Oryctolagus cuniculus: one gene and its partners. The protein of the gene in region 3 binds, or shares a complex with, the protein of the main gene of each other region. Links are inferred from orthologs where the notes say so. Each region holds a gene or a part of one and is shown on either strand. Other genes may lie near its edges.

The links.
Region 1: SNRNP40 (region 3) and LSM7 share a complex: the UniProt entries of both Homo sapiens proteins name them as parts of the U4/U6-U5 tri-snRNP complex. The link is inferred for Oryctolagus cuniculus from reciprocal best matches to the Homo sapiens genes SNRNP40 and LSM7.
Region 2: SNRNP40 (region 3) and CWC22 share a complex: the UniProt entries of both Homo sapiens proteins name them as parts of the minor spliceosome. The link is inferred for Oryctolagus cuniculus from reciprocal best matches to the Homo sapiens genes SNRNP40 and CWC22.

Annotation. Positions count from the first base shown.
Region 1 is NC_091447.1:59,144,751-59,149,649, forward strand, and holds LSM7 (U6 snRNA-associated Sm-like protein LSm7), read right to left. Parts: upstream 2,888-4,899; 5' UTR 2,835-2,887; coding exon 2,829-2,834; intron 2,749-2,828; coding exon 2,658-2,748; intron 1,666-2,657; coding exon 1,594-1,665; intron 1,368-1,593; coding exon 1,225-1,367; 3' UTR 1,181-1,224; intron 1,079-1,180; 3' UTR 255-1,078; downstream 1-254. Other genes in the region: SPPL2B (signal peptide peptidase-like 2B), read left to right, coding at 2,912-3,040. UniProt on the Homo sapiens protein: Plays a role in pre-mRNA splicing as component of the U4/U6-U5 tri-snRNP complex that is involved in spliceosome assembly, and as component of the precatalytic spliceosome (spliceosome B complex).
Region 2 is NC_091434.1:61,122,871-61,127,669, reverse strand, and holds part of CWC22 (pre-mRNA-splicing factor CWC22 homolog), read right to left. Parts: intron 2,956-4,799; coding exon 2,854-2,955; intron 2,773-2,853; coding exon 2,534-2,772; intron 1-2,533. UniProt on the Homo sapiens protein: Required for pre-mRNA splicing as component of the spliceosome. As a component of the minor spliceosome, involved in the splicing of U12-type introns in pre-mRNAs. Promotes exon-junction complex (EJC) assembly.
Region 3 is NC_091438.1:141,089,007-141,093,805, reverse strand, and holds part of SNRNP40 (U5 small nuclear ribonucleoprotein 40 kDa protein), read right to left. Parts: intron 1,383-4,799; coding exon 1,260-1,382; intron 1-1,259. UniProt on the Homo sapiens protein: Required for pre-mRNA splicing as component of the activated spliceosome. Component of the U5 small nuclear ribonucleoprotein (snRNP) complex and the U4/U6-U5 tri-snRNP complex, building blocks of the spliceosome.

The DNA of each region.
Region 1 (4,899 bases), on a different chromosome or scaffold from region 3:
GCGTGGACAGCGGATGGGAGAGCTCCCTGGTTCTCTCCAGGGACACTCGGTGCCCCGGCACGGGGGCGCTGGTGGAGGCCCCGCTGCACCGGGAGACCCCAGCCCCGTCCCCCAGCCCCCGTCGCTGCCAACTCCTGGAGGCCAGAGCGAGCCAGGGGGGGCCCGGAGGCACCCAGCTCTGCAAGACCCACCCGGCGGCTGACCACACGTGCCGGCCCGAGCCCACTGTAGGCCCTTCTCCCCAAGGCGCCCAGTTTTCTTAAAGTGGTTTATTTATCCGAAAGGCAGAGTTACAGAGAGGCAGAGACAGAGAGAGAGGTCCTCCATCCGCTGGGTCACCCCCCAGATGGCCGCATTGGCCGGAGCTGCGCCGATCCGGAGCCAGGAGCTCCATCCGGGTCTCCCACGCGGGTGCAGGGGTCCACCATTGGTCCATCGTCCACTGCTCTCCCAGGCCACGGCAGGGAGCTGATCGGAAGTGGAGCAGCTGGGACTCGAACCCGCGCCCACGTGGGAAGCGGGACCACAGGCGGCGGCTTCGCCCGCTGCGCCCCAGCGCTCACAGAGCAGAGCCACGGCAGGAGGCGGGGCTAGGCCGAGCCGGGGCTGCGGGGGCTCAGAAACGGGGGGTGCTCCCCTCATCCGCCGTCCAGTCCCTCAGTTGTGAGGCGCCCCCCCCACCCCGCAGTGCACGGCCCCGGCCCTGAGATGGCCTCTGACAGGGAGCCCAGGCCAGATGGCTGGGAGCAGGTGCGGGGCCCGGAGCAGCTGGCGCCCGCGGGCCGCAGAGCCCGGTGAGCCCCGTGAGCCAGGGGCCCGGGCTCCAGCGCAGCGCGCGCCTCCCGCGTGCCCCAGCGCCCAGGAGGGAGGGTGCGAGGGGGCGGCGGACGGGGAGGGGTCCCGGGGCCAGGGGCTGAGAAAGCGAGGCGAGCGGGCAGAGGGGCTGCGGCTTTACTGAGCGGGGGCGGGGCTGACCCCGGCGGGCAGGGTCCCGGGGGCGGGGCGGTGCCGACCCAGGCGGGTAGGCGGTCCCGGGGGCGGGGCCGAGCTGGCGGGGGCGGGGCCGGGGCTGACCCAGGCGGGCAGGGTCCCGGGGGCGGGGCCGAGGTGGCGGGGGCGGTGCCGGGGCGGGGCTGACCCAGGCGGGCAGGGTCCCGGGGGCGGGGCGGGGCCGACCCAGGCGGGTAGGCGGTCCCGGGGGCGGGGCTGAGGCCGGCCGCCGGCCTAGGCGTCCTGCTGCTGCACGAAGGGGTTCGGGATGGCCTCCATGCCGTCCTGCGGGCAGATGAGCACCACCGAGGTGCCCCTGCACACCACCAGGCCCAGCTGCCGCGTGTCCTCCGTCAGCTTGTACTGGTCGTCGGGATCTGCGGGCGGGGAGGGCTGAGGCAGGCGGGCGGCGGGCGGCGGCCGGCACCCCGCACGGACAGGGACAGGGACAGGGCCAGGGCCGGGGCCGGGGCCGGGCACAGCAGGCGCAGGGCTGCCGTCAGGGGCGGGGCGGGGCGGGAAGACCGCAACCCCGCGCGGGACCCACCCTCACCGCCCGGCTCCCGCACGGCCTGGGCGTCCCCGGGGGGCGGACCGGCTCACCTCGCATGTGTTCGATGGTGCCGTCCAGCACGAGGTTGAGCAGGGGGTCGAAGCCCTTGAGGATGCCGCTGGCTGGGGCGGGGGGGGGGGGCGTGAGGTCCAGCCCGCCCGCCCAGAGGGGCAGCGCGGGAGCCGGCGCGGGCTGGGACGGCAGGGCAGCGCGGCCCTGGGTGGGGGAGCCAGTGCGCAGCGCGGGACGCCGCGGTGGTCACTGCTATTCGGGTTGCGGCTCCAGCAACCTCAGGCCGCTGCCGCACCTGCGCGCTGGGGCCCCGACCCCACAGGGGAGTGGGTGGGCGGGGTCAGCGACCCAGGCCCCCCGCCTGACCCGGCGCGGGCGGCAGGCGAGTCCCGGGGCGGAACACGGCGACCCCGGCCCACAGCCACAGCAGACAGCTTGTGACACGTGGGCTCGGTGGGCTGGTGAGTGTCCTGGGGGGCCGGCCCCACTCCCCTACCGGGGCCAGCGTGGCGGGGAGAGGCCCTCCCGCCGCTGGGTCACTCCCGAGACGGCCTCAACGGCCGGAGCTGCGCCGATCCGGAGCGAGGAGCCAGGAGCTCCATCCGGGTCTCCCACGCAGGTGCAGCGGCCCCCAGCACCTGGGCCCTCGTGCACCTGCTCTCCCAGGCCACAGCAGGGAGCTGGACCGGAAGTGGAGCAGCCGGGACTCGAACCCGCGCCCCTATCGCACCCTGGGGACCCTGCCCCCACGCGGGAGACCCGGATGCAGCTCCTGGTCCTACCCGGGCTGCGAACCAGAGAGGGGAGTTCTCGCGCCTTTCCGAAATAAATGCATTTCCGTTTCTAGGGCCGCGGTTCCCACGCGTGCAGGCGCGCCCCCTGGCGGGCGCTGGTGATACCGCAGACCCGGGCACCGGCACAAGCAGGGGGTCCCTGGCGGGGGGCCGCGCCCGCGGAGAGGCCCCGGTGCGGGGCGGCAGCGCGCTGGGGAGACGGGGCCGCGCGCGGGCAGAGCTGCGGGGCCGCCTCCGCTGGCCCCCGCGCCCGCCGCCTCCCGACCCGCGAACGCACGGGGCCGGCGGCGGGGAGGGGGCGGCCTCACCTTCGCGGCCTCCCTGGAACTTCACCCGGATCGTCTTGTCGATGTACTTGGACAGGTCCAAGATGCTCTCCTTCTTCTTCTTCTCTTTGTCCTGCGGGGCAAGCAGAGCGCGTGAGGCAGGGGGCGCGGCCCGACTTCAAGCTCCCCGCCCCGGCTCCGCCGCGCGCTCACCGCCATCTTCCCGCCCCGCGCCGCCCCGCGCAGGCGCCGCCCCGCGGCCTTTGACCCCGGGCGCGCGTGCGCATGCGCCGCGCATGCGCGCAGGCGCCGCCGGGGGTGTTGCCGGGAAACATCTGCCGACGGCTGCGGCTGGACCGGCCGACATGGCGGCGGCGCTGGCGCTGGCGCGGCTCGCGGCGGCCTCGCTGCTTTTCGCGGCCCAGGTGAGGCTGCGCCGGCCCTGACAGCCCCGCGGGCCGCGGCTGCTCTGCCCCGGCAGCCCCGGGCCCCGCGTGGCGCCGCGCTCCGCCCGCCCTGGGGCCGCCGCCTCCGGGACCCCGGTCCCCCCGCGTCCCCCGCCGCGGGGCCGGGGCCCTGCCGTGACCTTGCGGGGCTGTGCCGCCCCCGCCGCGGCCGTCCTCGCCCGCCGCGGCCTCTGGCCGGGTCCGCAGTCCCGCGTCCTCCCCACCCGCAGGCCCTGGATGGGTCCCGTGCGTCCGTCTCGGGGGTCTCCCCTGCCGCTGTGGCGCCCACCGCGCTCCGAGCCTCAGTTTCCCCCAGTGCGGCACGCGCGCCCCTGCCCCCAGGGCTGGCGGGAAGGCGTCCCCCGGTGCGGGGCAGCGCCCCGGGCCCCCCGGCCCCCGCGCCGGCGTTTGCTCGGTGACCTTGCATGGGGGGGTCGCACCCCTGCAGGCGCGGGAGGTTGCGGGGCGCGGACAGCCGCCGCGTCCCGGTTTGCGCGGCCCCAGGAGCGGGGTCCCTGGCGGCGCGTCGCCCCCCGGTCTCAGCGGGTGCCCGGAGGCCGAGCCGGCGCCCCGCGCGGGAGGCCCCTCGGGTGGGCGTGGGGCTGGGCCGGGGACTTTGTCCTGGGAGTCCCGGAGGCCGTGTCCGGCCCAGGAGAGCAGGCTCTGCTCCCGGGACGCCGCGGTGCGGGGTGCGGGGTGGAGTTAGGGCCGCTGCGGGGAGGCTGCCCCCGACACCCCCGCGCCCGCCTGCCTCCCCCGCGGATGTGTGGGGCCCCTCGCGGCTGCGCAGGCTGGAGCCCAGCGCCGCCCCCGGAGTGGGGGTACCCCCTGCCCCCCGCCCGGATCCGGGTCCCCTCCACTCCCCCCACCAGGAGTCGGGGTCCCCTCTGCCCCCCACCTGGGGTCAGGGTCCCTCTGCTCCCCCCCAGGAGTCAGGTCCCCTCTGCCCCCCTGCCCGGATCCGGGTCCCCTCCGCTCCCCCCCGTCCGGATCTGGGTCCCCTCTGCCCCCCACCTGGGGTCGGGGTCCCTCTGCTCCCCCCCAGGAGTCAGGTCCCCTCTGCCCCCCTGCCTGGATCCGGGTCCCCTCCACTCCCCCCCTGCCTGGAGTTAGGGTCCCCTCTGCCCCCCCACCCGGATCCGGGTCTCCTTTGCTCCCCCTGCCTGGAGTCAGGGTCCCCCCGCCCCCTGTCCGGATCTGGGTCCCCTCTGCCCCCCACCTGGAGTTAGGGTCCCCTCTGCTCCCCCCCAGGAGTCAGGTCCCCTCTGACCCCCGCCCGGATCCTGGTCCCCTCTGCTCCCCCACCTGGAGTCGGGTCCCCTCTGCCCCCGCTGGGCTCCCTGTGTCCGTCGGCCCCGCCGCGGCTCTGGTGGTCTCTGAGCGGCCCCTGCAGAGCCCAGGACGCCCTCAGGCCTGGCCCCCAGGACCCCGTTAGCGCGAGTGAGGGCGACGTCCTCCGTCCGCTGGGTGGCTCCCCAGGTGGCCACAGTGGCGGGGCTGGGCCAGGCTGGACTCTGGACCCCCCACGCGGGTGCAGGCCGAGCGCGGGCATCGCCCGTGGCTTCCCCGGCGGTAACCGGGAGCTGGAGCGGAGCAGCCGGGCCTTGAACCGGCGCCCGTGCGGGGTACTGGTGCCGGCCCAGCGGCAGGGGCCGGCTCTGGGCCGCGGGGCCTGCCCTCGCCCACCTCTGCTGTCCAGGGACGTGCCACCTGTGAGCAGGCGCAGGGCTGCTTCGGGCTGGACTCGGTCTCAAGGCAGACTGCTTCCCAGGGGCGGGGCGGGGCTCTGGACAGCGAGTGGACGCGTGGACACCGGGACCAGCCAGGGGCGGGGGACG
Region 2 (4,799 bases), on a different chromosome or scaffold from region 3:
CAAATTATAATATTAGAGGACACTGGATAAGATGTTTATGTGGACTGTCTGTACTGTCTTTCCAGTTTTCCTATAAGTGTAAAATTAATTCAAAATAAAAATAAGAAATAAAGGCAGTAGAGAATTAGTGAAAAAATGAGGCCAAGAAGAGCCAAATTTTCCATGAAGCTCCACAGAGGCACAGTAAACCGATGCTCCACAGTTACTTCCTGTCAGGGAGCATCTGCTGATTCAGGTTGCTGCTGAGGGAATAGAGAGAAGACAGGGCGTTCTGGCAAGCTCACAGGGCTGGAGAGAAGGGCATCAGTGAGCTGCAGACACATACATGGTGAAAGATACACATCTCGGATACGTAAAGAATTCTGATAAATTAATAGAGCAGACATAAAAAAATAAGGTGGGGGTCACACAAAGCCTGGAACAGCCACCTAACAAAAAGGGAAGTATTAAAATGGCCAATAAAGCTTAAATGGTATTCCGCTTCATCAGTGAGAAAGACAATGAAAATTAAAGTACAATACCCACAATACTGTATCATTACATAGCCACCAGATCTGGCCAAAATGAAAAACATGGGCAATCTCAAGCGCTGGTAGGGAGCTGCTAGAACTCTATATGTGGCTGGTGGGAGTGTATGTTGAAATAAACACTTAAAAAAATTGTTTGGCAGGGGCCAGCACTATGGTATAGCGGGTTAAAGACCCAGCCTGTTGTATAAGCATCCCAGACAGGCACCAGTTCAAGTCCTGGCTGCTCCTCTTCCAACCCAGCTCTCTGCTATGGCCTGGGAAAGCAGCAGAAGATGGCCCAAGTGCTTGGGCCCCTGCACCCATGTGGGAGACTGGAAGAAGCTCCTGGCTCCTGGCTTCAGATTGGCTTAACTCTGGCAGTGCAGTGGTTTGAGAAGTGAACCAGAGGAAGGAAGACCTTTTTCTCTGTCTCCCCTCTCACTGCTCTAACTCTACTTCTCAAATAAATATATAAAATCTTTTTTTTTTTATTTGACAAATAAGAGTTAGAGAGAGAGAGAAAGACAGAAAAGTCTTCCTTCCGTTGGTTCACCCCCCAAATGGCTGCTACAGCTGGAGCTATGCTGATCCGAAGCCAGGAACCAGGTGCTTCCTCCTGGTCTCCCATGTGGGTGTAGGTGCCCAAGCACTTGGCCATCCTCCACTGCTTTCCCGGGCCACAGCAGAGAGCTGGACTGCAAGAGGAGCAACTGGGACTAGAATCCAGCACCCATATGGGATGCTGACGCTGCAGGCGGAGGATTAACCAAGTGAGCCACAGCGCCGGCCCCAAATATATAAAATCTTTAAAAACAAACAAACAAAAAAAACCCTGGTTGATAGTATTTACTAAAGTCAAACACAAACACATGCTATGACATCTGATTATCAGCAATAATTACATGCTATATTATCTGATATACCACCTGTAGGTATATACCCAAAGGAAATGTGCACACACATACACACATATACACAAACGTTTCTTGTCCAATGATGGGGCTATGTCCCAATAAATCAATTCCAAGTTAAAAATACCAAGATGAAAATGACTAAACTCCGAAACATAACTTAGTTTAGCCTATCTTAAATGTGCTCAGAATACTCAACATTAGCCTACAGTTGAGCATCATGAGAGCAATGTATGGCATTACCCCAGCCCAGGAAAAGATCAAAATACATAATTCAAAGTACAGCTTTTATGGAATGCATATGGACTATCATAGTCAAAAACTCCTAAGATGAACCATTGTAGGTTGGGGACTATCTGTGTATATATGATCAGCAAAAGTTATGTACAAGAGTATTCATGGGAACACTATCTGTAAATTTACATGTCCACTGACTAAAAAGATAATAGGATTACAGTATATTCATGAAGTAGAGAACTGTAACAGGAATGAATGAACTATACCTAAATGCAATTCTATACAAGAATCTCACAAACGTAATGTTGAAAGAAATGTCAGACATAGAGGATTCGTAATGCACAGTTCTGAAGTTACAACATACAAAACGAATCTATAGAATTACAAATCAGAATAGTAGCAGATAGGCCAGAGGGAGGGCAGTTACTGGGAGAGGGAACAAGGAGAAATTCTGGCCAGAGTGCTAGCTATTCACATAGCACACAGGACAAGCACTGCATGTGTGGTATATGTCAATCACTAAAATAAAGCTTTGCTATTAGAAGAAAAGCCAAAACATTTTTTTTTTTTCAAATAAAAGCATCAGGCAACTGTTATACATTATATTAAGTTGACACCACGATAAACACATGCCCATGAAGTATCTTGGCTTCGATGAAGAGGATTCCAACAGGTAATGTTGGCATTGTAGATGCTGTAATACACTAACACATTGTAATAGTGACGGATGATTGTGCATATTATTAACTAAAGCTTTAAACAACTCAACTCTAAAACAAGCAATACAATACAATCACTTTCTTCCGTCATTATAAATACCACCAGCAATACGCTTGTTAGCAAAGAGCAGGATAGGTTATGGAGAAGCTTCAATACCTGAGGCCGAGCTGTGACTCCCGGAGGATGAAGAATCGCTCTCCTCACTGGAGGACCCTGAACTGCTATCACTGCTGTCAGAGTCAGAGTCAGAGTCAGAGTCAGAGTCAGAGGAGTCGGACTCCGACGAGGAGGACGCTGATGACGAAGAAGACAGGGAGGATTTATTTGGTTCAACATCTGGTTTCTGAGCCACTATGACTTTTGGTGTGTTTTTGAGATGCTCACGCAATTCATCCCTAATTAAAAACATAGTCTGTTAGATTCTGTCTCAAAGGCAACTGTAAGGTAATTGTGTAAGGTGAAAACAAAATTCTTACGTTAAACCTCCAAGACCTATAGAAGTAAAGAAGTTGATGGCAAATCGAGTGTTTCTTGGATTATCTCGGGGTAACAACCCTTCAAAGAATGGCTGTAGGGTTCTATAAAAGAAAAAAAAATGAATGGAAGAGAACAAAAAGACAAAAATCCTTACAGTTATTTTGCAGACTTCCAGTATATTAAATAAACAAATGAAATAATAAATGGTGGTGTATGCCTCTTATTAGGTTATGCTACCTGCTATCTAAATGAAATGAGTAGGGTCAAGTAATAATATACTAAGCTGAATTTTTAAAAACTTTTCACTCGTGTCAACACAGAAGAATACACATGGACACATACATATATGTGTGTGTATGGTATACATATATAAAATTTTTTAAAGGTTTACTTACTTATCTGAAAGTCAGAGTTACACAGAGAGAGAAGCAGAGGCAGAGAGAGAGAGAGAGGTCTTCCATCCGCTGGTTTACTCCCCAGTTGGCCAAAATGGCTGGAGCTGTGTCAATTCGAAGCCAGGAGCCAGGAGCTTCTTCTGGGTCTCCCACATGGGTACAGGGGCCCAAGGACTTGGACCTTCTTCTACTGTTTTCTAGCCAGAGAGCTGGATAGGAAGTAGAGCAGCTGGGACTTCAACCAGTGCCCATATGGGATGCCTGTGTGGCTTTACCTGCTAAGCCACAGCGCCAGCCCCCGTATTTAAGATTTAAAAAAAACCCGCTTGTATTTTAATATATACACAGGCATGTGTACACAACACTGAGAGATATGAGGAAGGAGTCAACAAAAGGGAGACATTTAGGATTGAGGACTGCATAGAATTACTCTATTTACAGAGCAGGGCAAACAGAAAAACATTAACAATGTACTGTGGTTCTGATCAATTCTGAGTGCCACACTGAATGACTACTAGATGGAGTCAGGAAAACGTTTCATAGAAAAAGGTAAACTATTATAAAAAGAATGATTAAGAGTTTGCTAGACAGATGAAAAAGAGAGGGGACTGCCAGTTGTAGAAACAGAAATAAAGAAACATCAACAGCCAGACAGGCTTGACACGATGGCAGTGGAGATGTGGCTACAGTGCCATTTGCTAAAGGAATTGAGCCTGGTACAACTGACAGGAACCAGAGTCAGTAAGTATATGAAGCCAGGAGAAGTGGATGGAATAGCCCACAGATAGCATCCAGAACCCAGGACAGACCTCAGGTGAACCTTAACACTGGAGAGGCCAGCTGAGGAGGAGACGGAGACTAAGGATAAAGTGAGAAGTCACAGTGAGCAAGTGACCAACTGCTAAAGACAGGCAGAGAAGTAAAGGGGCATAAGGACTGACTACAGCATTTGGCAGTGGTCATGGAAGAAGCTGGGAAGGATGCTTCAATGGTGTCCACTGATTACAAAACATTGTTGTTTTAGGGCTCAACACAAAGGTACGAAATAAGAGAAAACTAAGTACTCATCAACTGCAGAATTTCAGTGAGCATGCAAAAAAAAAACATTTCATATGCTCTAATGAAATTAAAGGAAGCATTAATTTTGTTTTCCTGCGACTAGCAGTATAAGTACAATTAAAAGTTACATGCTGGAGGCCAGTGCAATGGCGCAGTAGGTTAATCTTCTGCCTGAGATGCCGGCATCCCATATGGGCGCTGGCTCTAGTCCCAGCTGCTCCTCTTCCAGTCCAGCTCTCTGCCATGGCCTGGGAAAGCAGTAGAAAACGGCTCAAGTCCTTGGGCCCCTGCACCCACGTGGGAGACCACAGGAAGCTCCTGGTTCCTGGCTTTGGATTGGTGCAGCTCTGGCCATTGCAGTCATGGAAGACCTCTCTATCTCTCCCTCTCACTGTCAAATAAATAAATAAAATCTTTATAAAAAAAAAGTTGCATGCTGTCCTATGCTACATGAGATACAGAGAAGTAGATGATTAATGGATTAAAAAAGT
Region 3 (4,799 bases):
CTGAGGTTCCACCACTTATTAGCTGTGTAAGCTTAGATTAAGTTGTTATGCCTTTTCTAGCTCAGCTTCTTAAGCATGAAATAACACTAGTAGCATTTGACAAAGTTGTTGTGGAGCTTAAATGAATTAATGATGTAGAGCTGATCCATGATCTGACACAAGGTAAGCACTATGTGTTAGATGATGACAACAACATTGTTTTTATCATCACCACCATCTTCTTTTTGCAAGACATTTGGCTGTGAGGAGGAAGAGTCACCAAGCAACAGCAATCTCCATGTGGAACTGAAGGAAGATTCCTCCTTACCCTACCACCATAGTGAAATTCTGATAAGAAAGTAGAAAAGCAGGAGAGAAGACGCTGAAAATAGTTTGGGGAAACTGCTGGCATGAGGTCCTTGAGAAGTGAAGGTTGAAATCTTCCCACTTAATGAGACATGCCATCCATAGTAACAGCAAAGGAAGCAAGCAGGAATGGGAATACAGAACAATTGCCATGTAGAGACAACACAGGAAGCTTAGCATCGATCTAACAGTAATTACCTCAGTAATGCAAAGGGTAGGGCCACAGTTTTTGAGATCCTTTAGGGAACCAGTAAGCAAAGGCTTGAATTGTATAGTCCCAAAATACCCCTTCACATTTACTGGTACTTGCTATATCCAGGAACACTGCAGGTGGTCTAAGGATAGGCTCATTTAATCCCAACAACTCTATGAGGCAGAAGTTACTGTTATTATTATCACCTTCACTCTTCATGTGAGAAAACATAAGCTTAAAGTGAACAAGTTAAAGAACCCATTTGAAATCACAAAACTAGAAAACAGCAGAAGTGGGATTAGAACCCAAGTCAAATTAGTTGAAGGTTTAAGCTACACTGTACTGCCACACGGCCCACTGCCTCCTTCTCCAAAAGTATTACTTTCTCTCATTCTTACTAGAAGCTTAGAAAACTTAATTTAAATAGTGTCAAAAAGAAAAACACAGCAAGAGTGGAGGACACCCGTCCTTCCACTAGTCCTCCACCCAGGGGATGCATGCGGCACATGAACCGCCTGGTCCCTGACAGCATTTATATGGGCTGCAATGAAACCTTTGATTGAGGAAGACAATGAGGACCGAAGAGAAAGAAAGTTCTAAGTTATTATTGTAATTTTAGTTGGTATTAAGCACAAAGCTACCACAATCCCAAAAGTCTTCAAAGATTTGCTTCTGTAAGTGGATGCAGGTCAAAGTGAAATACAACACGAACATCACATACCTTGATATCATTGTCTATTCCACCAGAAATAATCTGATCACTTGTGTCATTGAAGGTCACAGCTAACACTTGGTATGTGTTCTGAAATGTCTGGATGGCTGCTTTCTTCCGGATATCCCAAAGCTAAAGCAGAGGAATAGGACAGTCTATCAGTAACATCTCCTTGAGAAGTAACTGCACAACATACTTGGTAGACATGAACACATCTAGAACAAGAACCTCATTCAGAAACTTTCTTGGATGTCCTAGCAACACATGGTAAAAAATGATCACAATTTTGCCAAATTATTTGAAGGCTGGTGGAATAAACTATTTTGGTTATATTTTCAGACTCCTTTGGTAATAAAGTTAGAATAAAATACTGTTAATCAACATGCCCTTGGAAGAAGTCCTCTATAAGTTTACTTCGTATATTCTTTAGGAGAAAGATATTAGACCACTGCCTAAAAAAAAAAAAAAAAAAAAAAAAAAAAAACCCACATATTTACTATTTGAAAGGCAGAGTTACAGTGAGAAAGGAGAGCAAGGGAGAGTGAGAGATCTTCCATTTACTTGTTTACTCCCCAAAATGGCTGAAGCTAGTACAGGCAGAAGCTAGGAGCCAGGAACTCTATCTGGGTGTCTCACATAGGTGGCAGGGGCAAAGCATTTGGCTCATCTTGTGCTGCTTTCCCAGGCACATTAGCTGGGACTGGATTGGAAGCTGAGCAGCCAAGACTTGAACTGGTTCTCATATGGGATGCTGGTGTCACAGGTGGTGGCTTAACCCACTGCATCACAGCTCTGACCCTACCTTGTTTTGTTTTTCAAAGATTTTATTTATTTATTTATTTTTAATTTGACAGGTAGAGTTATAGACAGTGAGAGAGAGACAGAGAAGAAGGTCTTCCTTCTGTTGGCTCATTCCCCAAATGGCCGCTATGGCCGGCGCTGTGCTGATCTGAAGCCAGGAGCCAGGTGCTTCTTCCCGGTCTCCCATGCGGGTACAGGGACCCAAGCACATGGGCCATCCTCCACTGCCTTCCCGGGCCACAGCAGAGAGCTGGACTGTAAGAGGAGCAACCAGGACAGAAGTTGGCGCCCCAACCGGGACTAGAACCTGGGGTGCCAGGGCCGCAGGCGGAGGATTAGCCTTGTGAGCCCCGGCGCTGGCCAGACCGCTCTCTCTTTGTATCCCTACCTTTCTATGTAACTGTCTTTCAAAATAGAAAAAAAAAAAAAAAAAAAAAAAAACTAAACGTTTTCATGTTTAGTTCTAGTCATAATTTCATAACTACATTCATAGTAGATGGTTTACTGTTAGTTATAATTAAAGTCAGTTAGTATCCTCTCCTATCCAAACAGTAATTTTTTAAAAGATCTATTTAATTATTTGAAAGACAGAGTTACAAAAATGGTGAGAAACAGAGAGATCTTCTATCTGCTGGTTCACTTCTCAAATGACCATAGCAGCTGGGACTGGTCTGGGTCAAAGCTAGGAGTTCAGAACTCCATCCAGGTCTCGCACATTGGTCACAGGAGCCCAAATACTTGGGCCATCTTCAGCGGCTTTCCCAGGCGCATTAGCAGGGAGGTGGATCTAAAATAGAGCACCTGGGACTCAAAACAGCACTCCAAAATGAGATATCACTGTCACAACTCTGGCCCCCTAAACAGTAATTTTATTAAATCATTCAGTAAATGTTTGTTGGCTCACCTCTCTGTCTCATCATGAAGGAAAAAACACTAAGATACAGTTCTAGCTCAGAGAGGAAATTGAGAACTGTTAACGAGAGGCAGAACAAAATATTTTTATATAGATTTTTAAAAGTTATGTTATTGGGGGCCGATATTGTGACGCAGTGGATTAAGTCCCCACCTGCAATGCCAGCATCCCATATGAGCACTGGTTCGAGTCCCAGCCTCTCTTTTTCTTCCAATCCAGCTCTCTGCTATGGTCTGGGAAAGCAGTGGAAGAGGACCCAAGTGCTTGGGCTCCTGCATCCGTGTGGCAGACCCGGAAGAAGCTCCTGACTCCTGGCTTCGGATCTGCCCAGTTCTGGCCACTGCGCCATTTGGGGAGTGAACCAGTGGTTGGAAGACTTTCTGTCTTTTCCTCACTCTGTAACTTTGCCTCTCAAATAAATAAATAAATGGCACACTTGCACACTGCTGGTAATAATGCCCCCTGGAGGTTTATGTTGTGTAAAACGGTCTGCCGGGGATCTGGGTTTGTCTTGAAACCCTGCAGCTAAAATTTTTATTGCATGTCTTGATTTATCTTACTGCAGAGTGGAGACTCAGACCTAAATTACTTAGACAGGAATCCTAGCTTTGTCACTTAGTAACCTGGAAAAGTGTACTCCATGTGACTTAGTTTTCTCCTCTATGAAATGGCTCTAAGCATACATGCAGAGCCAATCTACAAAGACTGGGAGAGTTTTTTTTACTTGTTCTAGGTGATAAAAGAATCACTAGTTGATAACTAAAATAATGGAACAAGACTTCAGTAGTTATGCAGGACAAACAACACAGTCTTCACAAAACTAGTTTAAAAAGTCACTAAACTGGGGCCAACACTGTGGCATAGAAGGTTAAGCCTTTGCCTGAGGAGCTGGTGTCCCATATGGGTCCCTGCACCCATGTGGGCAACCCGGAAGAAGCTATTGGCTCCTGACTTCAGCTGGGCCCAGTTCTAGCCCTTTTGGCCATTCGGGGAGTTAACCAGTGGATGGAAGACCTCTGTCTCTTCTTTTCTCTATGAGGAACTCTGCCTCTCAAAAAATAAATAAATCTTAAAAAAAAAAAAAAAAGTCGCAAAACAAACCAACAATGACAACTACAATGGCTCTGGTGTTGGGGCATAGTGGTTTGTTTTGTTTTGTTTTTTTGACAGGCAGAGTGGACAGTGAGAGAGAGAGACAGAGAGAAAGGTCTTCCTTTGCCGTTGGTTCACCCTCCAATGGCCGCCGCGGCCGGCGCACCGTGCTGATTCAATGGCAGGAGCCAGGTACTTATCCTGGTCTCCCATGGGGTGCAGGGCCCAAGTACTTGGGCCATCCTCCACTGTACTCCCTGGCCACAGCAGAGAGCTGGCCTGGAAGAGGGGCAACCAGGACAGAATCCAGCGCCCCGACCAGGACTAGAATCTGGTGTGCCGGTGCCGCAAGGCGGAGGATTAGCCTAGTGAGCCGCGGTGCCGGCCTGCATAGTGGGTTTTGTAAAACCACTGTCTGTGACAATGCCATCCCTTATAGTTGCTGGGTGGAGTCCCGGCTGCTCTACTTCAATCCAGCTCCCTACTAATGGCCTGGGAAAGGAGCAGAAGAAGGTCCAATTGCTTGGGCTCCTGTGCCCACCCACGTGGGAGACCCAGATGAAGCTCCTGGCTTCGGCCTGGCCTTGTCCCAGCTGGGACCGAAGCCAGGAGCCTAGAACTCCATCTGGGTCTCCCACATGGGGGCCCAAGCACATGGGTCATCTTCCACTGCTTTTCCAGGCACATTAACAGGGAGCTGGATTGGAAGTGGAGCAGCCAGGACTCAAACTGGTGCTTATATA